Bombyx mori: one gene and its partner. The protein of the gene in region 1 interacts with the protein of each later gene in a biochemical or structural test. Links are inferred from orthologs where the notes say so. Each region holds a gene or a part of one and is shown on either strand. Other genes may lie near its edges. The genes, in order: F-box-like/WD repeat-containing protein TBL1XR1 and E3 ubiquitin-protein ligase SIAH1A.

Region 1 (16,827 bases):
CTTAAATGGTTTTTTAAAATTCATATTTCATGATAACAATGCAACTGGCAGATGTTTCGGACTTTTCTATGAGAATATAGAAACCGCCAGTATTTCTATTAGAGTCATCGATCTATTACCACAGATCGATGATGAGAATGGTTAGACACATGTTATGTTACCAAAATTTTACTGTACCTGCTTGGTGGATTGACAGTGCCATATTATTATTAGAAGGTATGCTCTGCTCAGAAATTTGTTGCTTTAGTGAGTTGGTCCAGCTCACTGAACCAATAGTACTCTTGCTTATACTAGGTATAACAGCCGGGATACCAGTTGCAGATTTCTATAATAAAGCAAATTGCATAGATGGGTGGACGAGCCCACAGCCCACCTGAGGTTAAGTGGTTACTGGAGCCCATAGACATCTACAATGTAAATGCCGCTACCCACCTGGAGATATTAGTTCTTAGGTCTCAGTATAGTTACAATGGTTGCCCCACCCTTCAAATCAAAATGCATTACTACTTCACGACAGAAATAGGCAGAGTGGTGGTACCCGCCCATGCGGACTTGCAAGAGATCCTAACACCAGTAAATGTATGTGTTATTGAATTTATTGGTCAAATTTATATTATTTTGAAATTAGTTGAATATTCTAGTGGAAATTATATTAAAAACGTTCAACTTACAGCGTTAGCTAACTGTGGTATAGGAAACAGCTGAAGTGTTGAATCAGAGTGCTGCGGCAGTTCTGACAGGGCTAACAACAGGCTCAAAACAGATAAACGCTGTTTTAGAATGAACTGAAAATTTATTATATTTAGTAAGATTATGCAGTCACAGGTTAGCTTAAAACTCCAAGGGCTTACACAGGTTAAGATATTTTATAATACTTTTATTCTGTAAATATCTATGTAGCTTTCAGCCCACAGACATCCACTGGTGGACATAGGCCTCCCTCAAACCTTGTCACAATTACCATTTCTATGCTACGTGCATCCAGCAGGTTCCTGTCAGTCTTAATATGTTGTCGATCCACCTTGTGGGAGACCTTCCCTGAACTACATCATCCCGTACGCAGACTTCAGCCAAGAGCTTTGTGGCCCCAACAGACATCTGTTTTACTTTTATTTTAAATTGTTATATTTCATTTTATATATATGGGCAGTGCACAAGTGAGTACATTTGCCCCATTATGGCTGTTAACAGACAGGGCTGGACCGCATTACCTATCACTAGTGTTCAAAAGATTACGAGGAGACTCAAGATATACTTTAAACTACTAATATGTTTTAATCCTCTGTGTTAAATTAGCATTCTAAGGCTTGATTAAACACTCACACAATTCCTTAATTTTGAATGATATTCATTGAACTTTTCTGCATCTCGAGAGGATCTGCTACACAACTTTGAGTAAATCTTTTGACAAAGTAGTTTCTCGTCTGCAGATGAACGCGTCTTTTCGCTTGTTGATGACAAATATGACATAGCCAGTTCATATGCACCATCTGTTATGTGGGTTCAATTTTAAAAATTGTTTTTGTAGTTATTCCTTAAATATTTGTTTTGTCTGACTATATTACATGTTAACCTTTAATATTAAATAACGAAAACAGTGACTTCAAATTATTATGTATAAAATTCATATTAAATTCAAGAGCATAATTATGTGATCGTAATATTAGTGCATATAGCTTGCATTTATGACAATTTATTCAAAATTGGAATCAAACCTAGATCTGTTGACAGATGGGAACATAATTTATGAAGAAGTTCTGCGACATTGGTCGAAGTCGGTTCCATTTTAAAATTTAAGTTCCTATTATGGTTTCTTAGCTTATACTGCGCCCATTTCAATGATATGAAGCAAATTACAAATTGACCCTGTTCTTGATGAAGTTTGACATAGGTATCGGATTGAAAACTAAGCTTAACAAATTTATTTTAGCGAAAGTCCATCACATTTCAACAGAACAAAATATTTTACAATTTAAAATTTGTATGGGTAATCAATCAGCCGGCTCTAATTCACAACCGTCATAACTTCACAGATAAAATCTGTCTATATTGACAGATGACAGCAGCTACCCTTGTGTTTTCCAGGACTCGTCCATTCGACAAGAAAACCTAGACCATACAGACAAATGTTTTATCACAAAAATTCAAGATTCTTATTCAGTCCATAAACTATTTAGAACTAAATAGAATGTTATGAAAAACAAGTAAAGCGTTGCGTTTATCCTCAAACTTGATCCTTGAACCCTATTGGATAAAATAAAATAATCTCTAAGTAAAATCGTGGATTTCTCAGGATTTTCGGAGAACCTGAGAAAAGCCACTTAAAGCTATTTTCTTCGATTTTAAATACTTATTCACTTTCATATATGACTTTTGATTTTGACATTTAATTATATTAAAACTTTGTAATTTTTCTTGTTTTTAATGCCCTCCCTACAATGTATTCTATTCATTATTATCATTAAATTATACAAAATATAATATAAAGATAAAGCTGTAGATTTTAATTTTTTTAATTGATATTTGCAGTTTTCTATTTTTTTAAGCATATCTACAGTTTTGCTCTATGCTGGAGTTGGCAGCCCTGTTTGTTACTCATTCTGGAATTTCGATAGCTGTCAAAAGTGTCAAAAGTGGCTTTTTGGCGGGAACACGAGAAGTGAAGTTTTGTGATTTGTTTTTTTTTGTCTATTTAGTGTTTCTTCGGGTTTAAATGTGTAATAATGGTGGTTTATTAACTGTTTAATATCTGTGAAAGTGCACAAATGTGGGAAAATGAAACAAAGCCGCTGAACGTAACTTTTCGGGATCCTCCAAAAAGTCCACTAAAAAAATCTATTAATGACCACCATTTTACTGAGATTGTATTTGATCCCATATCATTTTATTTAATATCATCCCAATCTATGAAATGTCTCAAATTAATCATCTTTATTTTATTTCACTCCATATTATCATTTTTCATAACATTATGAATATAAATTAAAATAAGACATGACCTAAAAGTCTTAGTTACCAGGTCATACAATTCCTTAAAAAAACAAATGTTAACTAAAACTGTTTTAGTTCTAAACTAAAAATAAATTTATTGTTGCTAAATTAATTGTAAAATAGATAAAATGCACTACATTTTTAGAGTGTAGTGTTTAAAAATACATCATTTTATATAAATATCACATATTTTTATGTTTAGATATTGTATTGTATTGTCATGTTTAAATGGTGTTACAAAATAAACAATTTAACATTGAATTACCATAGAATACGTGAAATTTATAGTTTAGCTTTATATTAAAGGAAAGATGAACCCTAAAAATCGTATCGCTAAGGCTTGTGATGACAGGCCTTTTGAAGGGTTGATAATAACAAACACTGAACCGCTTAGTTCTCTATCTAGTAGAAGTGCTTGCCCACGTTGCGGCAAGTCAAGAATGTACTTTTGTTATGTTTGCTTTATTCCAGTACCAGCACTTGAAGGAAAAATACCTTACTGTAAAGTTAGTAACTCATAAAACTAATTTCTTGGAAACAATAAATTCAGCTTAATAAATAAGTAATATTTTTGCAGCTACCAATAAAAGTGGATATTATCAAACACAAAGGAGAGATTAATGGTAAAAGCACTGCAGCCCATGCTGCTGTTCTTGCTCCACGGGATGTCACAGTGTACACATATCCAGATATTCCAGATTATCCTACTGATGGAAAGGTTGTTTTGTTGTTTCCTGGAGCTGAGGCAAAATCTGTGCGAGACTTATTCAATCAACAACAAAATCAGCCTTCATACTCAGAAATTATGTTATCACAACTGCCAGTTGGTTACAATGTTGGAACATTAATGAAAAAGATAGTTACAAGAAAAGATAACCATGAAATCTATCATGTCCAAGAATTACCTATAAATCATGTAGTTATTATTGACAGCACCTGGAATCAATGCCGTGGTATATATGCCGATAAAAGAATTCAAAAACTGCCAACCATAGTTTTGCAAAACAGACCATCTCAATTTTGGAGACACCAAAAAGGCAGTCCTAGGTGGTATCTTTCCACAATTGAATCATTACATCAACTTGTGTTAGAATTACATTTGTGTGCATGGGGTCGGAGTGAAAATTACAAATTCCACCTTACAGATTACTATCCTGTGCATAATCCAGATCAAAATCATCCTCAATGTGATCCTTATGTTGGACAATATGACAACTTATTATTCTTTTTTGTTTTTATGTATTCAAAGTTACATGAACTTTATAAACATGAAGATTTGTTAGCCTATAAAAGACCAATGTCTTGATATCCGAAAAATAAACAGGACTTGAAATATTTGTTGATTAAAATAAATTTATTTGACTAAGAAATAAATTTTTACAAAAAAAAAAACATTTTTATTAAATAAAGTTTATACTAACTACTAGATATTTATTACAGACATTGTAATACTCAATTAAAATTTTAGTAAGGCTTTGTCATATATTTTGTACTTAAATGTAAATTTTTACTGTACATTTTAAATGTTATTTTACATTTCAATTGATTATTTATGTTGCCAAACTAATTTTGATAATTAGTTATTATGACCCGATTTCTTATTGCAGGTGAGATAATGTTTTTGTGCAACTAAATATAAACTCTTATGATATTTAAACAAATAATTAGTTAAATAAAATAACAAAATACTCCAGTTTGAGAATTGCAGCCTTAAAGTCTATTTTTCAGCTGTTTATTTAAATTACCTACAGCTTTTGTCTGCTTTAGATAACAAGTTAAAAAAGTATTGAAAAAGTAAAGTTAATAAATAAACTTTAGGCTATGTTTTTTTATAAACAAAACTACTGTTAAATCACTAGAAAATAATCACGGTGACCTATCGTGAATATCTAATATGTAGTATGGAATTCTGTTAATGCCAATTGATAGACACAAAATACACCTTAAAACTATGAACAGAGCTTGCAAGTTATTTTATACCAACAAAAATATAAATCATTCACTTGAAACACTACATATTCTATGACGTAACGGAGAACATGTCATTAGTTAATTTTACCAGATATTATAAAAAATTACATTTGCGTTCTTAATTCAAAACTATTTTTAAATTACCAAAAATAAAATGATGGCGATATGCACCGCCGGTTCGAAAATTATGTGACAAAAATTACAACCATTATAACACATTTATATATTTTTCTATGCATAATTTCACTGCTTCACCCAATCTCAAAGATGAGATTTCTAAAAATATACTGAAATAATCATAAATGTTGATTATACCTGCAAAATTACTTTTGGTGATTGAAATCTAGTGCATTATATTATTTAGTTCCAATAGCACAACACACTTTACCAATTATTGTAATATCATCAATGTCAAATTCATGTTCCAATGCCACAGCACCACCTCATATAAAGCTATGAGGTTTATATTTGTAAGTCTCAAAGTTTACGAAGATCTAACACAAATACACTGCCGTCACTAGCACTGGCTCCCACTTTGGTACCACGAGAATTCCAGCATACTTCAAAAATACCACCAGTACCTTTGTAAGAATGTACAAGGCTTCCAGTTTGTGTTGACCAAATGTGAACACACTTGTCAAAAGAACCGCTTGCCAAAAACTTACCATCAGGAGAGAATGCAACACTGTAAACTGGTTCAGTGTGTTTTGTTAGTGTGTGAATACAGACACCTTTTTCAACATCCCATAAGCGGACGGTTGAATCAAATGATGCACTAGCAAGAATTAAATTCATGTTAGGATTCTGTGTGCCTGGTCCAGTTGGTGACCATTTGATAGTATAAATCTCTTTTGAATGTGCTTGCAAATCATGAACCCAGGTATCTTGCTTCATTGACCAAATTTTAAGAGTCATATCATCAGAACAAGATGCAAGTAGCTGTCCTTGTGGGTCCCATTTTATTGCATTAACCTCATTCTGTAAAAAATACATTTTTAATTATAGTTTCTTTTATTTCTGTCAAAAGCAAACGAGTGCAGGGTCCACAACATACTAAGTGGTATGAGAGATTAAGACGTGAATATTTGCGTCCGCTCTCAGACTCCAAGTCGTCGTGGACTTAAGGATAATAAAGATGCATTCGAATTGAGCGATAGAGTGTGCCAGTGTTCAAATTCCGCGTCAAGGTACCAATATTTCTAATGAAATACGTCCTTAACAAATTTTAATGTTCATGATTGACATGATTCACAGTTCACAATTCAACATTGTGTGATAAAAATCAAATTAGCAAAAATTATAATTTTCGTAATTATTGATGGTAGGGTATCTTGTGAGTCCGCAATGGTGTTTACCACCTGTGTATTTCTGCCATGAAGCAGTAATGAGTTTGGGTTGGAAGGTTGAGGCCATGTCTATGGGCTCTGGTTACCACATTACGCCAGGTAGGCAGTGAGCTCATTCACCCATCTAAGCAATAAAAAAAGTACGTACTTAACTCACACTAATTAATGTATGTGGTTTTTTAACCAAAGGCAATAATAAAATAAACAATAAAATGAATTTTGAAGATTGTACTTACGGTGTGTCCTTGGAAACTTTTAATTGGTTTGTCAGCATTTAATTTACAAACGTGTATACACTGGTCAGTAGAACATGAAGCAAAGGATGTATTTGTCTGCCAGTCTACATCTAGTGCTGGTGCTAAATGGAATGAGAATTGTTGGGTACATTGACCTGTTGAAGCATCCCATATAATCGTTGTTTTATCAACCTAAAATAATTATTATGTCAATTCTAAGCTTATTTTTACATAACTTACTCTAATGTTTTATGATAACTAAAAAACATTTTTTTAATATATAAACTTATAAATCTGTAGTACCCCTGCACTAAGGATGAAATTTCCTCTTTTGTTCCATTTGAGTGCAAATATAGGTCCCTTGTGTTGACCTAAAGTCGATGCTAATGTACCATCTGTAGTCCAAATTCGAGCATAACCATCATATGATCCAGTTGCCAAAAGATTTCCATCGCACTATAATAAAAAGTTAAATATTATTATCATATTATTTCTTTAATTCAACTTGCAATGTCCCTAAATTAATCATATTAAATAAATTAGAAAATAAAAAAAATTTCTTTTTATGCACATCAGAGTGAACAATCTCATGCCCACTTTGTGTAAAATTATTACTGGAGCCCATAGACATCACCCGGTGACTGTAGCCACCTGTGTTGAGGTACAAATCTCGATGGCATTGTGTAATGGCTATTCCACCCCGGAAATCGGAATACATGACTACTTTGCGGCAGAAATAGGCAGGATGGTGACGCTTTCTGTGGGCTCACAACGCATGCTTTTTTTACAAATAAATGAATGAATAAGTATTAATTAAAAAGCTTGTAAACTTACATTCCAGTCCAGTGAAGTGACATCTTTGTTACTTGGTACTTCAGTACCTCCTTTTTGAATACAGTGTCTGAGTACTAGTTGGTTTGGAGTAGTTGTTGGGTTGTCAGACATATCCCAAATTCTGTATAAATTTAAGTAACATTATTATTTTAATTTGCAGTACATAGGTGTACTGGTTATTTTTGTTTGAAAACAATGTAAAAGCTTTCAATTTTACAGCTTAAATTGTTCAATTATTGAATTATTTTAATGTTAAATTACTATTCTACACTAATTAGTATAATAAAAAAATTATTTTAATCAACTTACCTAGCTGTACTATCACCTGATCCACTGGCCAGTAAATCCGTGCTTGGGTTCCATGCACAAATAAATACTTCAGATTCATGACCTCTTAGTACAGTAGCTTTGTTTGCTGGAATTTCAATTGATGTGTCCATGTCCATAGGCACGGGTATGTTTGATGCTGGTGTCTCAGCACTTGCTGCAGCTTGTGCACTGCATGTTGTACCCTTTAAAAATATTTAGAAAATAATACACAGGATCCCTATATCTTTGTGTACATCATAACAAGAGTTGTAGGTGAACCTTAATGTAAATGTAAAATTTAATTTATAGCTAATTTAAAAAATATGCATATCTTTGAACAAGCTCACAGTCCCCTGATATAATATTTGGAGAGCACTGTGTCCCATTCTATGATTGTTGGTGTTTACTAAACTCATGGGTAGAGATGGGGTGTTGCTATTCTAGATTGGTTTCACAAAGCAGAGAATAAATGGGTTTTATTTTTTCACTCATAGTAAAGCAAAGGAAGTTGACAAGTAATCCCAGTTTTCCCAGAAACACAGGATTCAATCAACTAAATCGGCTGTCAGCTCATTTGTTTTGTTATATTACAGGCATTACAAATTTGAAATAATAAAATTTTGTATTATATCTTTTGTTATTTTTTTAGGGACCAGTTGTTACACTGGTGGTAGGACCTCTTCAGAGTCCGCGCGGGTAGGTACCACCACCCTGCCTATTTCTGCCGTGAAGCAGTAATGCGTTTCGTTTTGAAGGGTGGGGCAGCCGTTGTAACTATACTGGAGATCTTAGAACTTATATCTCAAGGTGGGTGGCGCATTTACGTCGTAGATGTCTATGGGCTCCAGTAACCACTTAACACCAGGTGGGCTGTGAGCTCGTCCACCCATCTAAGCAATAAATAAATAAATTTTAGAAAATTATGACAATTGACACATACATACATGCCCATGTTTAAACAGATTAATTCTAAGATCTTGATAATTCTAATCTAGTGTCTTAGTTACTTAGTACTTGTGTCTTTGATGTTTTTAATTGATGATACTACCAAATAAAACTCACATTAGATTCCAAAAATAAATTTTGTATATTAAGCAAAATGTCACTTAAACCAAATAGCCTTTCATCTCTTGATTTGTAAATATAGGGAATTTAAAAGGAAAATTAGGCAACAGACCCAACACAGGGATTAAAGGAGCAAGCAAGAATTCAATCTACTGTTTTATAGAGTGAAGACTACTTTTAGTACCTTTGTACTACTGTACTGTTTTTACTAGTTATATTTTATTTTAATTGTTTGCAATTTTCAATCAGAGATACCCGAGATACTTTAAGTTCTACATTTATGTCAACACTGGAACGTATGTTAATAAAAAAATTATCCAAATGGCCTTGATGGGTTTTCTTCAGGACATGTGTAGTAAGTAATGACTCGGAATAAATCTATTGGTGTTTTTATTTATTACATCTATCTATTTAATTGTAAATTGTGATAATGTATCCTTACCACTACATGATAGTACCACTAATTAGTAATAATGTATTTAAATCACAAATAGCATTACAAACAACAAATAAAAAAAACATACATCAACACCATTTTGTTCGCTTCCAGATCCCTGTTCTGTTTTGGCAGCTTGTTTCTGAGCATTGTGAGCATTTTGTTTAGCTGCTACTACATCTGGAGTAACAGCATCAATCAAGCTGAGGCTTTCTGTGAGACGATTTTCAGTTCCTAGAAGAAAATGTTATAGAATTTAGGCTCTTATTTAGTATTATAAACTGACAGGTAGGCACCAACAACCTCCATGTTCCAGTCCAATAGGTAAGATAATTTCATGTGATGCAAGTAACATTGTTATTTGGCAAATAAGTGTGGAATGATTAACTCATGAATCATAATCATGTTTTGTTACTTACCATTATCGCCTAATGTTATTTCCGCTGCAGTGTATTGTAATCCTTTTTGTATAATATTCAATAATGCTGCTGGAGGAACAAGAGCTCCGTTAATGTTACTTTGTGATATGTGTGATTCAATTCCAAAAGAATATGCTGAATGGTGGAAACCTAGAAAAAAATATTTAATTCATAGGTAGAATTAATATTCCTATTTAATAACAACAAGTACAGGCCTAATTTACATAGTACATATTGTATTATGCCCCTACTACCTATCTTGTATATTCCTGCCATGCAGTCACACATATATTAAGTATGCATAATGGTTTGTAGGGTTATTATTTAATATATGATTACATTTTATAATTTCAATAGAATTTGGACAGTAAATGTGCCTGTAATATTATTGAAAAAATAATGAGCATGGCTGGGGTTACCCACTGGTGGTGGAGTGTCTTCTGAGACCACATAGGTACGTACCACCACTATAAATATATTCCTGTTTCAAAAGCGGGATAGCTGTTTTACTACACAGTGGAGACTCCTCATGTCTTAAGCTAGATTTTGGCATTCAAGCTGTGATGGCTGTGGGTTCAAATAATCACTTAACACCAAGTTTATAACTTTGTGTGTTTTATGTTATCAAATAACAAGTGTGTATTGCAGTATATTGTAAATACATATTAAATTAATTTTTACCAGATCACATTGTTTTGAATTTAATTGTAAGAGTAATTTTAGAAACCTACCAACTTCACAAATTTAAGCCTCCAACCACTTTGAGAGATGGTTGCAGTCTTGTTTAAAGGCTTTACACTATTGAAACAATATAACAAAACAGCTTTACAGTAATAATTAAGGGCGGTGATAGCAGCCCGTGTCAATGACGAGGAACGATTTTTGCATGTACTCCATACATAAATAATAGGATATATTTTAATATTCATTCATGTGATTTTGCAATACACATTTATCAGAACATCTTATACAGTATTTAAAGGGTAAATTATAAACAAGAATTATTGCATTAAATGTGTACAATTCAAAATTCCAGTGTTTCTATAAAACCGATTGATCAACAATGTGACAGGTTGTTTATTTCATAAACTGCCTATATTTTAAGTTTCTATAGCCTATGTATTTTTTGCGGTTTCTGTATTTTGAAATTCTTCAGCCACCATGAGCTTGGTTTCACGAAAAACCAAGCTATTTCAACAATGTATCTATTACTTTACCTGACTCTTGTAAGTAGCGGTACACAAGAAAGTTTACTTCGTCACTAGTAAAACTCATTTTGCATATCAAATGGTAATCACAACAATAACATATTATCAGTAGTAGCCTGTAGTAACTACTTTAGGTCAGTTTAGGTAGTATGTATTTGTAATTTACAGAAATATTATTCGATTTGAAAAATAAACTCGATAGGTTTACATCAAATATAAGTGTATAATCTATGGTAGGTACTCTGAATCACAGATTATTAAACTGAATTTTATGAATGCTAAGTCTATTAAATATAGCTTACTGAATTTGGCCCCTTTTTTTTCGGATTTTTTTGTTTTTAATTATTGAAGTGAAACTTCCTTATCGGCGTTGGAAAAAAATTTACCGTCACATTTTTCGGTTACGCGTCACATTTTTCCGTTACGCGCCATCTGTTTTGTATTCATGTCTATGATAATAAAATCCTTTTGTTTAAACTTTATCTAATTTAACTTTTTTGTATTCATGTCTATGATAATAAAATCCTTTTGTTTAAACTTTATCTAATTTAACTTTATTTAACCAATTTCTAGGAAGTTGCATGTAGATCATTTTTCGAAAAATAAGGCCATAAATAAGTTTCACTTCTTACGTGTGTACACTAGTACACGCACACATTTTTTTGTTCGTGGTTTGTCCGTTAATGTTCGAATGTAAAAATTGTTTGTTTGTCTTTTATTAATTTATAATTAATTGAACAAATGATCACCCTTAAGTTGGCCTCTCTTACTAGATATCTTTATTTTTATCGCTTAGATTAATTAATTTTGATCAACTATCGTTTGTTCGACAAGTATTAGTGATTGCTCGATCATAAGAACAATTAAATTCCCAATTATTAATTATTTTATATCTAATAAGCAAACCATCGCATCGTCTCACGCCACCTTTTTATTAGATACATATATATAGAATACAGATATATAGAATTAGATATTCGTGGAGATAGCAAGGAATCATCTGGACGTACATCAAGCGAACTTCCAGCTAAAATTACTTTGAAAGCTCACATTATGAATGCAATTGATATTGACTCATGTTACCGGTTAGTTAACCTTATTTTATATTATTTTTACGTGTATGTATTTAGAACTAAAAATTATTATTCCATCTAAATTTTCAGATTGTCTGGAGTAGCAGCTTATGATGTCGATCACCAATAGTTGTCGAACAAACGATAATTGATCAAAATTAATTAATCTGAGTTATAAAAATAAAGATACCTAGTGAAGGAGGCCAACTTAACGGTGATCATTTGTTTAATTAATTATAAATAAATAAAAGATGAACAAACAATTTTTGAATTCGAATATTAACGAACAAACGACGAACAAATAATTTAAAATTAAAAAAATCCGAAAGTAAAAAAAGGGTGCTAAATTCACTGAGCCTCATAAATCATAGGTCTTTCAATATTGTAAAGGTTTACCTACTACGATTGTATTTTTTTGTCTCAAATATTAAGTGTGTCTATGTTTCAACTTTCAATGCATAATCTGTTATAATCTATGTTCGACAGTTACGTCAAAAGTGTTAGTGAAATCATTGTGAATTATTTTGGATTTTCTAGAATTAATACATTTGCTGAGAACGAAGGTAAAATCTTTGAAATTAATGCGATTCATTCACATTTCTCTTTCATACTTATTGCAAAAACAGAGATTTTGCTTTGTTCTGTATATGATTTTGACGCCATTTTGTAGCGCCGGCTGATTTCTAGAATTATAAATTTGCGATTTTTAGCCTTTGTAAGATTGAGTATTTGTAGTTTACAGTTAACCAGAAAAAAAACCTGCGCTGCGAAGCAAGCTCCAAAAACGCATTTATTATAAAGTTCATTAATTCGCAAATTCAATAGATAAAAAATATAGTTCTATTGAAATTGTAAGTCATTGAAGAGTTTGTCTACATACTATAAATAATTAGAATGTTGATGTGTGATATATGCAGGGTGGCCCAATTTTAGTAAGATAAAATCCAAGAGATTTATAGGTAAAATAGGAATTACTTAAAATCCATGTAGTATTATTACCATAGTACTTTATGTCTTATCAGGGAAAATATGAAAAATATTCATGTTACAATATTATTATATTTTTGAAGGTATATTTGTGGTATTGAGTAAAAACAAATCAATATGGTATTAAATTGTTTTTATAACACATTCTTCTCTTACGTGAAGCAAGCCTTAATGTAGAAATTAAGATAACTTAATGTCAATTTAACATTGCAGTCTTTTGCATTACTTCAATACTGTACAATTTGTTTGTAAAAGCAATGTTAAACATAAATAGTATTATAAAATTTGTTTAGGACTAGTAAATATAAAACATATGGGCATACACAAAGAAAGAAGCAGAAAATTATGTTTTGGGAATAATTGCAATTATTTTCAATCAGTAAAAGCAACTGTAATGAGCACCATTCTAGAGTTCGTAATGAGAATATACTGGCTTATGATAAAATGGGATCATTATTCATTTACTAAATTAAGCATAAATACTTATTGATTAAGATGGGAATATTTTGTGAACTCGTAATTTAAGGCAAGACTATTAGGGAGCACTTCCTCTCACTCTCTTGAGGCACCGTATTTTAGTTGATTCTTAATTTGGTGACGGAATGCAATGCAATAAATTTACTGATGTGGTGTCTTTTAATCAAAATGCAAGTTTTGAAATGAAACATTTTGGTGTTTCTTTAAACCATTATATCCATCAACTGTTTCATTTATTTTTGGAAAGAATACATCTCTTTTAGAACAAAATTGTAGCTAAATGAATAATATTTCTTAACTGGTATTTACAAATAATAACTACTTACAATAAAAGTAAAAAGAAGAAATATTTAATAAATAAAATTATCAGAGGAAAAGAAAAACTTGTCTTGGATTCATCAAAATATATGATATTTTGCATATCCATAATATAACAAAGTTTATAATGGGAAATAATTTTGTCCAATGTTGTGTTGTTTCTTTAAATAACTAAGTAAAGAAAAAGTAAATTTAAACAAAATTACAGGTAATGCAATGAGACAGCGTTTCAAATAATGACTATAACCATGAAAGAACAAGACCAGATGCCTGGGGAGGTAAAAATATTATTTCATTTAAATGTAAAGTTATACATTTTATTAATTAACAATTTTTGAATAATTTGTTGTAAAATTAGATTAGACGCACCATAATTTATATTAAATCTGTCAGAGGTAGGCAATATAAGGCAATACAGATAGTATGACCTCTAGTCTCTAGTTATATAAATATTAATTTTAGACTCTTATGGCTGACTTTTAATATTTTTTTGTAATTTTCTGTTAATAACTAGTGAAATTCAGCGACGGCGGGTGATTGTTTAATAAATCTATAAAAAAAACCTATCATTCTCCTGTTGGTAAAAAGTCTAGGTCCAGTATAGATTTTGAACAAAATTGGACAAAAGACGTGCAAGTGCATAGTTGTATGAATTTTTTTCTTGCTCTTATCCTACTATGTGGGATCATTCTGGCATATCGTACGTCATGTTTGCACTCACACAATTCATCTGAGTCTTTTTAGGATGCCCCTCCTCATAGCTGTATGAATATAAATATATTAAATATCCAATTGTATGTCTTAAGTTAAGACGTCAGATTAAGACGACTGGAATCTAGCATCAATGTCGCTATCCACGCGCAGAGGACAGGAGTGAATGGAAGAACATAGTCCTAACAAAAGTCCTCTGTAAAGGTCACGACCCTCAGCACTGAGGAATACGACGCACGGAGGAGGGATGTCTTAAGTTATAATCTCATACGGTTACAGATGTTACGTGATAATTTATATAAACTAATCAAATTTTATATTATTTAGATGGCATTCCCTGAGGCGAAATTAAAGGCACTGGAAGACAAACTTTCACATCCCCGTTGGGTTGTACCAGTGCTGCCAGAACAAGAATTGGAAGCTCTTCTAGTCGCTGCAACAGAACTAGCTGCAAAAGGTTTAATTTTTTTTCTTTTCACTATTAAACTGAGAATCCTTGATGCTATTAACATATCTAGCTATCAAGTGGAAACTCATAAGTTCGTTCCGTTGAACTATTGTTACTGTTTCCACGAGGAAGGAGACCTTTACTATAAAGAGATGTCATCATTTGTTCATAGTCAAAGTCTCCTCATCCACCAAACCCAAATTTTCCAAGATTTCAAGTTAAAGAACATCGAGCCAAATATATCAAGCAACCAATAAAGTAGAAAGCAGGAACATTAAACTTAGAGAACAAATTATTAAATAATTTCGAGGAAAAATTATTAAATTTGCGTTAGAGAGGACTCATGGCAATGGGCTCTGATGACCACTGAACACCAAGTGGGCCATGAGCTCATTCACACACGTAAGCAATAGAAGAAAACAGAGCATGTGGTGAGAATTGCATTGAATAGTGAATTGGATCCCGCGCTTTTTGGATGGACGGAGCATCCTTTTTTATCTCTACCTAAACGTTGGTAGCCCAAAGGGCTATTCTAACTACAGGCGGACGAGTAGTTGAGCTAACGGGCTTAACCTAAGAGAATTTGCTAACAATAGCCCTAGCAAGACCAGTGCTTCGCAGAATCTACCACCGGATCGAAATTACGACCCACTGAGAAGATCGGACGAGAAACGCACGCAGTGATTTGTCATGGACTAGTTCGCTAGACGAATTCTTCGTCGTAGTTAACGAGTTCGACGGAAACTTTATGAAAACACCTTAAATGTGTTAATTGCAAAAGCAAACTACATATATACCTTCTCTAAAACGCGAAAATTTCACTGGTTGGAAAAATATACTTCAAGAATTCCATAATTAGTCAATCAACTCCATAGAGATGTTTGTGTAGGAAAGATTTGAAAGGACTATTTATTATACTTCTTTAATCACAAATTTCGTCAAAACTACACTTTAGACAAATATTAATAAAGAGAAAACAATATTTATCTATTCTCAATTTGACAGACATTTTTTTTTTTTTTAATTTTTTAAAAAGTACATGTTATTGAAATGAAAGATTAATTCATTTGAATTCAAACCTGTCTCTTAATTTGTAGGTTTGATAATTATTATCAGATAGAGAGTGTAATACAAATTATTTGCTTAACAGGAGAAGATGTACACAATGCGGCGTGTCAGAAATTTTACACTGATGCTCTCACAATATCTTTTACAAAGATATTAACAGATGATGCAGTATCATCGTGGAAAAATAATATACAACAGTGTGTAAGATCCAACTGTGAGAAGCTAGTCAAGTTGTGTGCTCTTAAACTTGATGATCCCAGATTTTTGCATCTATTGACTATGACATTAAACCCCAGTAACAAGTAAGATTTTTATTTCATAAATTATGAAAAAAACTCATTCCTGAAATAAGTGTTTTTTAATTGCCATACTGTCATACTGATTCATAGGTATAGAATCGGTGTTAAGAGGTTAACCGAACCCAAAAAGATAAACGATTCACCTACCCGTCAAACTGGAAAATTTGAATTCTTCAAGGTTGCAATATGTAAATAGAGATGCCAAAGCCGAAAAGGGATTGATGTACTAACATTAACTAAGCCGAAAGCACTGTTTGCAGAGCGTAATTATCCTAGTAGTGCTTGAACATCAAGTAATAGTAGTGTATTAATGTTGTCCAGCGTCTTGTACAAACCTATCACATATATAATATGATTTACTTGTTGCAATTACTCTAAACATTAATCTCAAAAATATTTCATACATAAAAGATATTTTCTTTAAAATATAAGTTCCTAATAATAAGTTTAATATAAGTAATAATATGGCTTAAGTGCTCATTTAACAACATGAGAATATTCACTAGATTAAAAGATTTCAGCTTAGTACAAATATGTATGTTTTTTTAAGATCTTTCTTTTTAAGAGTTTTCGTCTTCAATTAGACTTAAAGGTAGAGAGTTTTCTATGCAAAATAGGCGGTATTCAGACC
Region 2 (16,547 bases), on another chromosome or scaffold:
TATTGTCAAACTTTTGTTCTTGACGTCAGTGGTCAAATTGAGAATAGATTAAATATTGTTTGTCTTTATTAATATTTTTTTATAGTGTAGCCATGGCGAAATTTGTGATTATAGAAGTATAAAATACAATCATAATAGTGTACAAACTTATTATACAATTCCAATTAATTATAGTCGCATTTCAGCTACTGCGGGACCTCTAGTAAATAAAATAATGCAACAACCACGCCACGTGCGTGTACATAGTAAAATAAAAACAATTAATTCATTGATTAATTACGAAGAACTACCTACACGTAGCTTAAAATCTAAAAGATGCGTACATTAAATTTACATTGCCGGCGAAGTACAAAGCGTTTGGTAAGATCAAAACTGACATCTCAGTGATAAACATAACAATGTCACGAAAGCAACTACCGCTGACCATTATACATTACTAGCGGCCCGCCCCGGCTTCGCATGGGTAGTAGCGCACGCGATGTAAAAAAAAATATGTAATTTTTTACACGTTGGGTTACATTATTGGAGTTTCAGTAAGGATCCCTAATTTTTTTGAAAATATAATAAATATAGCCTATGTCACCCGGGGATAGCGTAGCTTTCCAACAGTGAAAGAGTTTTTCCAATCGGTTCAGTAGTTTCGGAGCCTATTCAATACAAACAAACAAACAAACAAACAAACAAATCTTTCCTCTTTATAATATTATAGTATAGATACACTTGACACGGTTCTTTGTTTCGTAACGAACGCAATGACCCTTAAGTACTTACTGGTTAGGTTACTTAATAGTTACTTATAGTATTAAATTACGTTACCACATCAAACGTGGCCCTTTTAATTCGACGCTGTTCCTTAACCTCCGCGACAGATAACCTTCCTCGGCGAGCCTTGCAGCTTGAAAACTAGAGATGGAACACGCGACTTAACACGTTAACTGCTAATTTTTTTTTATTGCTTAGATGTGTGGACGAGCTCACAGCCCACCTGGTGTTAAGTGGTTACTGGAACCTATAGACATCTACAACGTAAATGCGCCACCCACCTTGAGATATAAGTTCTAATTCAAATTCAAATTCAAAATCATTTATTTCAACTTAGATGTCAGTATGACACACTTGTTGAATGTCAAAATACAAATAACAATGTTAACTCTACCACCGGTTCCAAAAAAAGCCACAGTCCTGAGAAGAACCGGCGAAACAAACTCAGCGGGCTTTTTTTTTTTGTTTTTTCTCAAATATTTTCTTTTTTTAAATTAAATAAAAATAATTACAATAAAGGAAAAAACAAGTCAAAAAAATACAATTAAAATAATAATAATAATAATGAAAAATGAAAAGGCCAGGAGCGAGCGCCTCATTCCCACGTAGTGCCATCTAGTAAATTTTAATAATCCTTAACTTTATAATATGCCTTGTTGCACAAACGTTCCTTGACAGTTTTCTTAAATCTATGAACAGAATGTGAGTTTCTCTCTATGAACAGATCTATGAACAGATTGTGAATTTCAATTTTTTGAATTTTTTTGCTCAGTTTTTTTTAAATATTTAATTGTCATTGGTCCTTAATAAATACCTACACCAAATTTCGAGTGAATCCGACGTTTTGAAGGAGGTCAAAATCATATTCAAAGATTCCGTTACAAATATACATACGTCTGAAGCTAATAAAAGCGTATTATTACAAAAGAAGGCAAAGTGGGGCAATCCAGGCGCTTGATAACAGAAATCGACATACTTGCTTTAGTGCGCCGCGTAGGACACCCGTGAACTACACGGCAGTCAACGTGTAAACCTCACAATTATCTATTTTTATTTTTCCTTTACTGCTTTTGTTTCTTTAACTTCATTTATTCAATTTCAAATACTAAACAGTCGTTAATACACGTGTAAGTTAAAAAAACGCCATTTTAATTACAGAACTTCACTCCTCGTGCTTCTGTCAAATAGTTATTAAAAAAAAAAACAAAGTTTAAAAAAAAAGGAATAGCTATTAGAGCTGAACAATATTTTATTTTATTTTCACCATTTTAATTGGCAACAAATTAATTCGTAAAAATAATAGAATTGCAATAATGTTGCATAAATTGAGCCAACCAATGATATCGAAATAGAAGTCGAAAGAAAATTGCTGACAGAGTAAACATGGTGAGTGACAGAGCTTAAAGAAAAATGTTATCTTGCGTTTTATAATTTTAGTGAGTCTACATAAGGTTGTGTTTCTTAGAAATCGCGTGCGTAAATAAATACACAATTGATCTCCGCTTGTGTGACGTTTTATGTTTGCCGTGTGCGTCGGTCGATTGTAAGCTGAACAATAGGCGAATTACAAGACGATTGTTGCTTAAAAATAGAAGATTTCAGAGAATAATCATCGAACGTGCCAACCTGAACAAAACTAGAAAGTTCGAGATAGTACATCCGGCTTTGGAATGAACTCCCCTCCACGGTGTTTTCCGAGCGCTATGACATGTCCTTCTTCAAACGAGGCTTGCGGAGAGTTCTTTATGATAGGCAGCGGCTTGGCTCTGCCCCTGGCATTGCTGACGTCCATGAGCGACGGTGACCACTTACCATCAGGTGGGCCGTATCCTCGTCTGCCTACAAAGGCAATAAAAAAAAATATATAACAAAAAAAAAAAAAATAACGAGAAAAAAATCGCGCGATGAAATATCGCTGTGCGGAAAACAAAGGACTTCCACGGACTTTTTCTTACGGTTTTTACTATCACATTTTTTTCAGTTCGGTCGCGCAGCAAAATCCCTATATTCTCCAATCCTGCCATAAGGAACTTCGTTCCAAAAGATAATTCAAATGTGAAATTCGGTTTGTACCGCAGTGACCGGCATCCTGGGTTATCGACGATCGGTTACCGTCTTCGTCGATTACGACGAGAACTTAGGCGAGCGAGCTATAGACACCACCGACTCAGTTTCTCGCCGGATCTTCTCAGTGGGTCGCTATTCCGATGGTAGACTCTATGAAGCACTGCTCTTGCTAGGGCTAGTGTTAGCAAATACTCTCAGGTTGAGCCCGTGAGCTCACCTACCCGTCCAGGCGTAGTTTGAATAGCCCCTTAGGCCTCCAGCCCTTCGAAAAAAAATCGCCTCAATAACTCGTCGGTCGAGAGTCCTCGGCGTCGCGCCGCGAGTCCACTAATTGTAGTGTTGACAGCAGGAACTCCTTAATTAATGAGTTAATTAAATATTTCATATAAAATGTTTTGTTTTAACATGTTCACGAACTCTCGCGCACGTGATCGTGTTGATTTGCATTAAATTCATCATTAAATTCTACATACTTTCTACCACAACCCTCGAACAGGTTAAACAAAATAAATTTAATAAAATTTATCATAGGTACGCTATATTATATTATAGTTTTCGATCATTGCGAGTCGCGGAAATAATTAAAGCTATTTTTACGGTTTAATCTCGTACTTAATATTTTCCCATTTTGTAAAACCTATATAACCTTGAATTTGATTTACCTAATTACGAATCACACAACTTAAATGAGCACTAAAGTAAATTGAAAGAGGGAAAAGTCCTTTCGGTGTTATAGCCAATCAGCCGAGCCCAAACATTACGCGCCAAATTGGTGCGCGATCGATCACTACCACCAATTGATAGGTCAACTGTCGGTCAAATAGAATTGTCGACGGGCTTATTGGTAAAGAGCTAAGTTTAGGTACACGTCATTTGCAAGACTCTAATTTCTTTTAGTGCTGTAGATGGACCGACGAACTATCGGCCTAAGTTTGCCAGGCCGTGGTCGGAGCCCAGAGCCCGCCACAGATCTTAAGACGAAAATTATGGTCATAACCTCAAATATAACGACTGTCGCGCACTTCAACTGGGACTCACTGACTCCTTGTTGTTAAACGGTTACCGGAGCCCATAAACGACATAGTTCACAACAGGCATGCCCTCACCTACATTGAGGCATGAGGCTGAAGTCTCAACCGTATTGTATAACAGTCTTCCCCCCTGCTAAAGAGGCCCATGGTTGCTTCTAGGCAAATAAACTTATGCAGGCTGAAAAGACGCATTACTACTACTAATTAATTTTCACTAGTAAACGTTTATTATTATTTCATCGTGGACCCAAATTGGCAAATGGGTAAATCATTTGTGGTATGCACGTAAATACTCAGAGAGAATAGCACTAACCACAGCGAATACACCGTATGGACGTTGTACTCATTTGATCATGCTTCTGCTTCTGTAAGCTTCTGTAAGCAGAAGTTCTTCTTCTCTTCTCTTCTATAGTAGTTCTAGTTCTTCTCTTTTATAGCAAGAGCAGTACTTCGCTCAATTTACTACCGGATCGGAATCGCGATTTAGTGAGAAGATCCTCAGAGAGAAACTCAGTGGATCGTGTCTTTAGGAGTCTCAGAGGTATGCTATTAGCGCCTTATGACTATAGCGCACCATTTAAAACAAGATTTCTAGAGTAATCTCTCTATTAGTTAAAATCTCGGTAAAAACGGGGAACGTTCATTTCAATTTTTTAGACATACTAAATAAGGAACATTTTCTGCTTAAAATTAATAAAATTAAAAAGGCGAAAGTTAATGTTTCTTCGTTGAAATCGTCATATCAATACCTAACAATAGCCTATCGGAACATCACTAGTTAATGAGTTTAATGCACCCTTTCCGATATTATTGTTTCGATAAACATAATATTGTATAAATATCCATAGCTACTGAATGGCAGTGGTATATTGCCATAAATTACCTACTTTCTATTTGACTAGGTACCTATTTTTTCCTGATCTTCGCCCTTTATTTCAACATTAATTATTTCAAAATTTTGAACCCTTTGTGGACTAAAGGTTAATACGTCCCGTGCATTCGTATCTAGCGATGCAACGGTATTCAAATCTCGCAGGCCGGTACCAATTTTTCGAATGAAATACGTACTTAACAAATGTTCACGATTGACATCCACGGTGAAGGAATAACATCGTGTAATCAAACCCACCAAAATTATAATTTTCGTAATTACTGATGGTAGGACCTCTTGTGAGTCTGCACGGGTAGGTGGTACCACCACCCCGCCTATTTCTGCCGTGAAGCAGTAATGCGCTTCGGTTTGAAAAGTGAGGCCGCCGTTGTAACTATACTGAGACCTTAGAACTTATATCTCAATGTGGGTATCGCGTTTACTTTATAATCTCTATAGGCTCCAGTAACCACTTAACATCAGGTGGGCTGTGAGCTCGTCCACCCATCTAAATAATAAAATAAATCACGAAAACTCGAATCCACTCTAAGCATTTGAATTCAGTTTATGAAGGTTACCTCCCAACAGCAGTGCGATACGCATAAGGCTCCAAGCCTCGAGTCCAAGCCGCCCTATACATACTGATAACCTCAACTGATCCGCTCCCACTAATGTTGAATGCTGATAAGTCTAACACCAACAGTAGCCATACCACAAATCATATCCATGAGCCATCCATCCTGAGCCCGTGCTTACCCACATGGTGGTGGAGCTAAGGTCATCAGCAAGACTTCAATTCCAAAAAAAAAAACATTTCACCATTCCACTTAATTGTACCTCGAAGCTTAGTGCGTTCGTTTTAATATGAAGCCAAATTACATTAATTCGAAGGCATTCACTTAAGTGATTTCTGAGCACTGGAATCCACTTAACACCAGGCTAGGTAAACTTATATGCCCATTTAAAGCCCAAAAACTATGTCAGCTTAGGCAGAAAAGGCATGAATTGTAGGAAGTATCTATTTGTGACAAAATAATACACACCAGCTGGAGAGTGAAAAGAAAATAATTTAATATAATTTAGTTGACCACTAGTGATTCTTGATTGGTGGTTTCGTGATTAATTACCTATACCTAACATGCAATGATAAATTACATCCACTGCAGTACTACTGAGTTAATACTAATCTGAAGGAATAGGAAAGAGTAGTTAATAAAATCACGTACGGTGATACAAGTCTAACCAACCCCTTAAGGTTACTAGCTGTAGGTATAATCGAGCCAATCATGATTTTAAAAATTTTGATGACAATAATCATTAAAATTGATCAACATCGTAATAAATTATGCTTTACTGTTCTTTTCGTTCACTTTACACTTCTTTGGCTAAAAAGACTGACATCCAAACTAAAAATAATGGCAACACTCTCATTCACCGTCACCTGCAGGGGGGTGCAACTCCCATACAAAGGAAAAGAACATTCAACTAGCGTCATCTTTAGGAACCGGCGAGGTCATTTTTGAAACGTTTTGGCCTTAATGAACTAATAAACTCACTAGATGGCAGATACGAGTTCTGACTCAATAAAAAAGGTTAGCGTACTTTGAAGCAGTGTTTCCACTTTTAGGGAATTCTCTCTTTTTTAGGGAAAAATAGCTGATATTTTGGATGATAAAGACAATTTAAAAAATTCCAGGATTTAGGATATTTCTGGGTAAAAAGCAAAGCCTATACTAGTAACTGTTGTGAATTTTAAAATAAACGATAATTAAAGTAAAACAATGAACATTTTATTTTATGGAGAGAATGACATTAAGTCGAGTTGACAAGTAAAAGAATAAAACAGAGTTGTGTATAAAAACTATAAAGAAGGTTTGATTCAACAGTAACCCTCTAGTAAAGTAAATCATAGATTAAGCCACTGCTTTTTTCTTAGGGATTCCCCAGAATCCCAATAAGTATAATCCGCCAAATTTTTATTTACCTGTTTTCGTTGATGTCACCAGAACTTACTCGTATTGTAATATACAGGTACTTCATGTACCATGAAAGATTATCATGGTAATTTCATTTACGAAAACCTTGTAATTGTCATTTCACTTTTGCTAGCAGTTCCTTCTTCAAAGACTGAGGTGGAAAGATTATTCAGTGTTCTCAAATGTAAAAACTGACAAAAGAAACAGGCTTTCTAATGAAACCCTGAACGGCTTGCTTCATAGAAAGTTCCCAACTTTGCCAGCAAACAATTGCTCAATTTTAGAACCGAACAGTGTTAGGTTGCGTGCAGCAAAAGAATATAAAAGCAATGCGTCGACTTCCTTGAAAATTCTAATCCTATACATCTATGATCTTCTGGGGGCGTTTATATTATATATACCTACATTAAATAATATGCTGTGGTTTATTTTCTGTATTTTATTTATGCTTTCTATATAAAGGATTTATGAAAGTTGTTTAGGAAATTTTAGGGATAAATTCAAAAGAAACTAGGGTAAAATGTGGTAAAAAAAACGTAACTGGAAACACTGCTTTGAAGTTTTCAAAATTCCAGGGCCGTAAAACAACCTCAAAAAAAAAAAAAAGAGTTTTCAAAATGTCGTAACGCTTTAATTTTTTAAATCGTTTTTTTTTTTGGTCTTGGTGTGAGTTATTTTACGTTGTAGTATTAATTTAGAGCAACTTTTAGCTTTATGAGAATATTAGACGATTAGACATTGAGAAACTCTGTTTTGAATTCTCTTTAGACATAACTTGGCTCCAATACTTTTTTCTTCGTTAGCGTTTCGTAAGCCTGTGTAACTATTTTCATTTCTTACAGAAAGTTTATTATTAAAAATCAGCATGCCTCGAAGATCGAAAATGAAATGCTATTTCGGATGCCTTGATAACGGTGAGTTTACACTATTTTCCCGGTATATTATTTGCTAACAGAATTATTATTCATAATATAATTAAATGAATTAGCACCAACTAATGGTCCTTCCTATTTCTGCTGCCTAGCTATCATATATGTTAAATTTTGATCAAAACAGTCGGTATTAAGTCTCGTACTATCACACACACACCTCAGATAATAAAATTGTCTCGAGTGGGTGGAAGTATTTATGTTTTGCAACTCAGCGTATTATATGCTTATTGTCAAGTGGGCCCGAACTAGTTTTTTGGAATGATCAATCAGTCATGCTTTCCTGTTTAAATAAAATACAGCACAATTGATCTCACATCCAAAGTTAGATGATGGCATTCACGTTTTGTTTCCTGGTGTTTGATAACTAAGTTACACCAAGTGGTCTGTGACCACGTTCATCCTTCTACCCAATATAAAATAATGTTTTTATTTTTGTAGACAAAGGTTTGATAATGACAAAATTTTATGGAAAAATTATAAGGAGCACTAAAATGTCTGAAACATGAAAAGATTGATGCACTATATTTGAACCAGAATGTGTTATGTAATATATTAATTTGTAAGTATGATTACATTATCACTAAATTTTTCATGGTTGTATTTTTTCAATATTTGTTACATACTTATGATACTTTGTTTCTCCGTTTCAGAAGAGAAACTGATTCAGCAAGGAACGTGAACTCTCAAGGATCTTAATTTTTTTTAATTATGTTTATAATTTATAAATTAATAATTGAAATAGTTCATAAGAACTAAATTGATGCCAATTTTGTTTTAAAATAGGTTGTTTAGTTCTTATAGTATTACGTTTGAATAGTTATAATTAGTAAGTTAGTAATATATGAAAATACTGATATAAATTTTGTAAATAACCTTTTGTAAATTCTACGAGAAGATGATTTTAATTAATGATCAAAAGTCAACGGTCTTCAAAAGCATTATTTGCAATTATTTAGATTAACTGTGGAATATATTTTTACTAAGTTGTGTTTTCTGTATGAGCAGATATAAATGAAAATGCCCAAACATGATTATGTTTCTTACATTTTCATTATGTGAAATCAATATGCTTGTGACTGAGTATATTAATAATTTATTAAAACTTAAGTGATAGACAGCAACCCCTATGGCACTGCTGAAGTTTATAAGCACTGGTGACCACTTATCATGAGCCGGGTTGCGTGCTCGTCTGCTGTTGAGTCCAGTAAAAATTTTCGAAACCCTTTCTATTATTTAGATGTAATATTAATGTACATTTAATTTGGATTAAAAGATAAATTTACATTTTATGTTTGCATGTGTATGTTTATAATTCATTTGCATGTAACGAACATCAGTTTCTTTTGTAACAAAATGCAAACTAATGGTTTGTAATGAATGTAATTAACTTTAAGATGATTTTCTTTCAATCTGCTGTTTGTTTCATCTAGTATTACCAAATATAAGAATGCTAAGAATAATTTAGTATTCACTTTAGTGTGTGTATTATCTCTACAATGCTAGTTTAAATGACAATTATTGTATGACGAAGCATAGGTAGTGTTTATACATGTAATATTTTCATACAAGATGATCATGATCATGATCTGTCACGATCAACTTTAAGCAAGAACTGCTATCGTTAAGAAACAAATTTATTTAATTTAATTCAAATTGTCTACTATGTTTGTAATGGAAAGCTGACATGTTTATATTTCGCACAAATGACTTATTGACATAGAATGATTTGATTATCTAGACTTAATTAACTTTTAGATAACTTTCGATTTAATGTTAATAAGTACGCTAGTAGGATTAATCTAGAGGAATTATTGTTATTCGAAATTTTATACAATTGTACGTTCATACAATCTTTTAACAGAAAATTGTTTGTAATATAGGGAAATTAAATAGCTTACAGAGAATTACAGCTTTTTATTTTAAAAAACTGTTTTCTCTCTGTATGAAAAGATCTTATCGATTAGAATGCTGAACACAATCAAACATTCCTTAATATCTCATAAGTACTACCGGGAATTTCAGCGATTCTAAACGATAAGATTTTTTCATAAAGAGAGTTATTAAAAATATTAAAATTACTAAAAAAGCCACCTGGTGGGGGGTAGGGAGACTAATAATCGACCGTAGCGACGCCTGCTGGACCGGGCTTTAACTAAAGCAAAAATAAAAATGAGAGTTGCGCATCTATCTCGTATATATTAAGTGTATAATCTATGGTCACCTGCTAATCCTGCTATCTTGACATTCATGCGAGTTTTGTTCGATTGGTCGTCATTGAGTTTTACGACGATTATCGTCCTTTTGTAATGAGCTAGAACGTTCGCATAGCTATTAACTTTTACCTTTTTTATTTAGTCTTTCTATACAGTACACGTAATTATGCAGTAAAATAAAAATTGCCGAACTCTTCGCAAACACAAGTTGTTATCATTCGCCTAGATTCTCATGGAGATTAGCCCACATATATCACGACGTACATAACAGTAAGAGCCATCCGCCTCGGTAACTGTAATGGAAATCTACTTCAACTCGACCAGCAGACGGAAGAAATCCACCGTGGAAGGCTATAAGTGAAGTGAGCGGTGCGTGTTTAGGAAGTAATCGTGGAGGACTGGGAGATCGTCGACGGACGTGATCTATGTGCGCGTAACGGTGACATGAGCACGAACATCAAGCGGCGTGGAGCTAGTGGGTCCAGTTGTTCAGTGCCCGGAGTGCCGGCCCTCGTGAACGCGCCCACCGCCATGTCTGCCGACCTCGCCTCGCTGTTTGAGTGTCCCGTTTGCTTCGACTATGTGCTGCCCCCCATCCTACAGTGTCAGAGTGGGCACCTGGTGTGCTCTAGCTGCCGTCCCAAGCTGTCCTGCTGCCCGACGTGTCGCGGGCCCCTCGGAAATATTCGCAACCTTGCAATGGAAAAGGTTGCCAGTAATGTTATGTTCCCCTGTAAACATTCTAACACGGGCTGTACTGTGACTCTTGTGCACACGGAGAAAGCTGAACATGAAGAAGCTTGTGAATTCAGGCCGTACTCTTGTCCTTGTCCCGGGGCATCCTGCAAGTGGCAAGGTGGTCTTGATCAAGTAATGCCGCATCTAATGATGTCTCACAAAAGTATCACAACACTCCAAGGAGAAGATATAGTGTTCTTAGCTACGGACATCAATCTGCCCGGTGCGGTGGACTGGGTGATGATGCAGTCATGCTTCAATCATCATTTTATGTTAGTTTTAGAAAAACAAGAAAAATTTGATGGTCACCAGCAGTTCTTTGCAATTGTGCAACTTATAGGATCTCGTAAAGAAGCTGAAAACTTTGCATACCGATTGGAGTTGAACGGTCACAGGCGTCGGCTAACGTGGGAGGCAATGCCTAGATCCATTCACGAAGGAGTGTCATCGGCCATCATGAACTCAGACTGCCTGGTGTTTGATACATCACTTGCACAATTATTTGCAGATAATGGCAACCTTGGTATAAATGTCACAATATCTATTGCCTAACCAATGTTTCTTTTTACAATTTATGTGAGCTAAAACTCTTGTATTAGACTCATAATTACGCAGTGTGTTACACGAAACATGACATAAAAGTTGGAACAAATTTGCAAATTTTAAAATGTAATTTTATTTAGTTTTCTTTTTTTTTTTCTAAATGTAAATAATCTTTGTCCATAGATAAATGTAATCGTTAATTTTCTAAATCATATTATTTTATGATTTACTTACCATCTCACGTATATATGACTTGTACTATAATTTAAATATAATTGTTCAAATGAAAGTAAGCCAAAAAAATGTTTTTTTTTTCTTTTCAACTTTTGTAAATGTGTGTTCAATATAGTTGTAAGTAGCAGAAGTGATTATTTCTTGCTAATTCAATAATTGCCTTGTGAACATAGTTTATAACAAATTATGACGAATGATGATCGCAAGAAGGGATTACTTAAATTCTGTAAAATGAACAAATTTGTATTTTAAATGCATGAAAAAATTTTTAGTGAATAAAATTTATAATAGAAATGTGATGTTGCTTTACAAGTCTACCCAATTATGCAGAAACTCGATTAACAAGAATTTACAAAACCAACAAAAAAGTTCTTAAGCGAAGAATTTTAGACACTGGTTTGACATTTAAAAGTAATTCAGTGTTACCTTTCAATTATAAATGATTACGAAAAAGGTACGAATCGCGCAGATAAGTTATGACAAAAAATCGTTTTTTTTTTTTCAATTAAAAAAATGTACATACTCAATACTTTTTTCTAAATAAATGCTGTGTAGTCTGATATTAATTTGTATTTTATGTAGATTATATCAAAAATACGATTTGACCTCTGATTCATTTTCATTTTAGCTGGATGCTGGTCGGATCTTTTCTGCATAACAGGGTCGAATGGTAAACAGTGCTCGAACCAACTATCACGGTCAACGCGTGACCGAAACAAACGTACCTATTATTTAAACAAATAAAAAATACGTTGAACAAAATTGAATGCCTTAGGACTGGTTATAGTTTGAACTGGATCTTGCCCACGGTACTTATGATTACAATAATATTCTTAGATAGAAAAGATTAAAGACGTAGGTTGAAAGTAGATCATAACTTTTCGAAGATACGGCTTAGTTTAGCCTGAGTGTATGCTGGCGCGTATAACAAAACCTTTGGATATGTAAATATGAATCCGAAAAAGTTATTTTTTCATAACACTCATTATTCATTATTAGATTCATAATGATAAACATAAATTTCATTAGTTAAAAGAAGACCATGTTAATTTTAAACAATTAATTGGAGAAATATACTCTGACATTCAATAGCAATAATTATGTAACGAACGGTCACCAAATCAACGTATTGTTTTTTGAGTTGGCAGCATGTACTTTGTTATGTTTAATGGCTTTGATTACCACTTAACGTCAGACTGCCCGCGAGCTTCTTTCCTCATCCGCGACAATAACAACATTACACGCTCGACTGCGGTAAGCCGTGTTTTGTTTTCATTGTCCATAACATAAATACAAATAGCATATAATAAAGAGTTTTAATAAGTCACTTTCAACTAGATTCGGAATATATGTTTAATAATTAAAAAATTAATTTAAAACAGGTTTTACTTTGCTTCGAGCAATAATAGTTCTCTGGTGGTCACTCGGCGGGTAATCAAATTGCCCACCGACAAAACCCCAAATTCAGACCCCAAATTTTCATATTATTGAAATCATTGCCCAGACCGGGATTCTAACCTGGATCTCGTCGTCTCAATAATCACTCACTATTACATTTAACCTTAATATATTAAATCTATCTAGCGACAAAACAATAAATTTCGCTTTAGTCAAATATTTTACACAAAAGGTTCAGCGAAATACATGCTCAAATTTTTTAAGATTGATTTTTTAAAACGTGGGCGTTAAGTACAATATTGTAAATGCATTGCCTACAAATTGTTGCTCATTTCTGTAATAACTTACTTTTTTAATCATGCAGAAATGTCACCGGTCACGTTACTTCTAATTTAAAGTTTGAATTGTCGCCATTTTGGAAAACTAAAAAGGTTGTTTTATTTTTCCACAACACGCGCGCAATGGTGAAAAATGACTGTTATCTTGTATCTCATAAGATAAATCTCGTCAAGTAAAATAAAAATTATAATTGAAATAAATTTTTGTAATGTAATCAAATTATTTGTGGTTTTACTGTTTTTCAAATATATTTTAAAATATATATGCAGATGTGGCGTTATAAGTGAAATTGTATGTGGCTTAAATTTTTGGAATTTATTTTTTTCTTAATTCTGTCCTTTTAATTGCATTAAATAATAATAAAAAAGTTCAAAAGAATCCAGATAAATTGAATATTTCTAAATATATCCAATTGCAAACAAATACATTATACCGAGTTTCACGGTGCTCATCTTCAGAACTATACTTGTTTCAACTATGTGTCAAATAGTATTTGGAAACAGATTATTATAAAATTGCTATTCTGGATCATTTTCCATAATCCAGTCTTTATACAGTATCGTTAACCTAAAATAAATTTTAATAAAACAACGATCTAAAGACAAATGTCGACCTATCGATCGACTAAGCTCCGGGTCTATAGTGGAACTTCGTTTCTCCCTTGTTTCTATATCACATGACACGGGGAACGGTGTTGAAAACATTGATATATATCATTACTAAGATGGATGAACTGACTCACAACCCACCTAATATTAAATAGTAACCGATGTCCATAGACATCAGCAACGTAAATGCCGTCGCCCACTTTGAGACATCAGTTCCAAGTTTTTACACTACGACTGCCCCACCCCACTTCAAACCGAAACGCATTACTACTTCACGGCAGAAATAGGCAGGGTGGTGGTCCCTACCAGTATGGACTCACAAAACGTCCTACCATCAGTAAATGATAATCCCGTCATTTCCCATAACTCAGACTATGTACCGTAGATTGGGGAAAATCGAGACCCTTTCCAAATCCAACACAAATTTTCAATGGTTTTTCATAATACCAATAAAATTGAGATTAAAATATTTAAATTTTTATATACGATGCGTTATTATACATAGTTCATTACAAAATGTACACAAAAACTAAAAAGAACTATATTGACCTGATTCACCTTGGCTATAAGGTGAATCAGGTTACGTGTGGTGTCAATAGAGTTTTTGATAGGGCTAGCACTATTTAGTTGTTAAGTAGGTACCTAACTTTAGGTTATTAACTTTTTAATATCTTTAATGAGTTGCAAAACTTTGATGGCTAAGTTAAACTATCCGAAGTCGTCGTGGCCTAAAGGATAAGACGTCCCGTGCATTCGTATCGAGCGATGCACTGGTGTTCGAATCCCGCAGGCGGGTACCAATTTTTCTAATGAAATACGTACTCAACGAATGTTCACGATTGACTTCCACGGTGAAGGAATAACATCGTGCAGTAAAAATCAAACCCGCAAAATTATAATTTGCGTAATTACTGGTAGTAGGACCTCTTGTGAGTCCGTACGGGTAGGTACCACCGCCCCGCTTATTTCTGCCGTGAAGCAGTAATGCGTTTCGGTTTGAAGGGTGGGGCAGCCGTTGTGACTATACTGAGACCTTAGAACTATATCTCAAGGTGTGTGGCGCATTTGCGTTGTAGATGTCTATGGGCTCCAGTAACCACTGAACACCAGGTGGGCTGTGAGCTCGTCCACACATCTAAGCAATAAATAAAAAAGCGCTAGGCAGCGGCTTGGCTCTGCCCCTGGCATTGCTGAAGTCCATGGGCGACGGTAACCACTCACCATCAACCATCAGGGTGGGCTGTGTGCTCGTCTGCCTACAAAGGCAATAAAAATATAAATTAAAAAAAAAACTACACAATACTGAATAAAAAATTATGATTTTCAAAAACCAATTTATTCATCCAACATGCTCTTTACGTATGAACGACATTACAAAAGGTAAATTGACAGAACAACGTTAAATTCATTTTCAAATTACATATACAACCTTAAAACTAAAAAAAATAATATATAATTGCAATAAATAACAATAGGATTCAAACAAATATCACCTATATAAGGGACCATTGTTTTTTCTGTTTTATCCCACGGACTCTTTGTTGATCGGTTACAACCAGCCATCAGAGACAGCAATATGGCCGCCGTCGCCTATAAGATACCAATGTACTTAAGAGTGAGTTTTATAACGCTCTCGATAACGTAAAAGTTAACTCAAATTAGTATGCAGTTGGAACAGCGCCCCTAGCGGCAAACCTTCCAACTCTACAAATTTGAGTTAACGTTTACGCTATCGAGAACGTTAAAAAACTCACTCTAAGGACGCAGATTCAAATCTCAACTGTATTGTACAACAATTGTCATAACTTTTCAAACGCGTAATTTCTTCGGCACTACTTAACACGCACAAGATTGCGGTCTCTATTTAAGGCAACATTTTGAATTCCCAAAAAAAAAAAACAATAGAAATATGTTGAAAATGTGGGTTCATATTTTATTATTTAGATGTAACAGTATCTAGGATCCGCTGAACGAAAGGCGATTAATTCAAATAGTAAATATTCATTTAAGACTTTATCGACTTTGGCTTTGAACTTATCAAGGATCTCATCTTTAATAATTAATCTTTAATTAACAATCACAATTGGATTTGTGAGACTTATAAAAGTACTTCACTGAATATTTAATGTTTTGGAGGTATGTCTGTTTGTCCATAGAAATAAAGCGATGGTACATTGCGCTCTGATGCAAGTAGGCAACGTGAAATAATGGTAGCATATTTTTTTGGTCTACAAAAGAATATGAGCTCACAGCATACCTAATATTATTAAGTTGTTGTCGAAGCTCAAAAAATAATGCATGATCATTGCTGAACTGATATGGGGGTTTGTTGTGCAACTGTGTCCAAATCTTCGAACCAGAATGCGGGCCCCCTTCGCTACACAACCTTTTGTTAAGTGGTTACTGAAGCCCATAGACATCTGCAACGTAAATGCGCCACCCACCTTGAGATATGAGTTCTAAGGTCTCAAGTATAGTTACAACGGCTGCCCCACCCTTTAAACCGAAACGCATTACTGCTTCACGGCAGAAATAAGCAGTGGTATCTACCCGCGCGGACTCACAAGAGGTGCTACCACCAGTAAATTTACATTTGGAGGAGAAACTCAACTAAACCATTCTAAGCTGAGGGATTTTAAATATTTTTAAATAAAAATGATTGTTTAATTAACTAAGTTGGCTTCGCGCTGTTTTGAGGCTGTATCGGTGAGGGCAGCAGGCAGGCGGCCGTGGGGGAACCGCTGTCGTCCAGAATGGACGCTCTACCCTCATCGTTGTCCAAAACAGAACCAAACGGGTCCGGCCTGTGCACGACCTCGTAGGGGTCCGACTCGC

The links.
Region 2: the proteins of F-box-like/WD repeat-containing protein TBL1XR1 (region 1) and E3 ubiquitin-protein ligase SIAH1A form a complex in vitro, tested with the Drosophila melanogaster proteins (2 studies listed by BioGRID). The link is inferred for Bombyx mori from reciprocal best matches to the Drosophila melanogaster genes ebi and sina.

What each region holds. Positions count from the first base shown.
Region 1 is NC_085121.1:10,761,014-10,777,840, forward strand, and holds F-box-like/WD repeat-containing protein TBL1XR1, read right to left. Parts: upstream 11,080-16,827; 5' UTR 10,883-11,079; coding exon 10,825-10,882; intron 9,758-10,824; coding exon 9,608-9,757; intron 9,423-9,607; coding exon 9,277-9,422; intron 7,891-9,276; coding exon 7,688-7,890; intron 7,500-7,687; coding exon 7,379-7,499; intron 7,001-7,378; coding exon 6,848-7,000; intron 6,737-6,847; coding exon 6,545-6,736; intron 5,941-6,544; coding exon 5,440-5,940; 3' UTR 4,325-5,439; downstream 1-4,324. Other genes in the region: gamma-tubulin complex component 3 homolog, read right to left, coding at 178-325, 672-785, 1,324-1,490, 1,716-1,785; tRNA-uridine aminocarboxypropyltransferase 1, read left to right, coding at 3,303-3,497, 3,569-4,297; probable ubiquitin carboxyl-terminal hydrolase FAF-X, read left to right, coding at 13,907-13,948, 14,709-14,838, 15,980-16,199.
Region 2 is NC_085116.1:16,267,681-16,284,227, reverse strand, and holds E3 ubiquitin-protein ligase SIAH1A, read left to right. Parts: upstream 1-9,860; 5' UTR 9,861-10,296; coding exon 10,297-11,142; 3' UTR 11,143-11,661; downstream 11,662-16,547. Other genes in the region: rab5 GDP/GTP exchange factor, read right to left, coding at 16,384-16,547. UniProt on the Drosophila melanogaster protein: E3 ubiquitin-protein ligase that is required for specification of R7 photoreceptor cell fate in the eye by mediating the ubiquitination and subsequent proteasomal degradation of Tramtrack (ttk).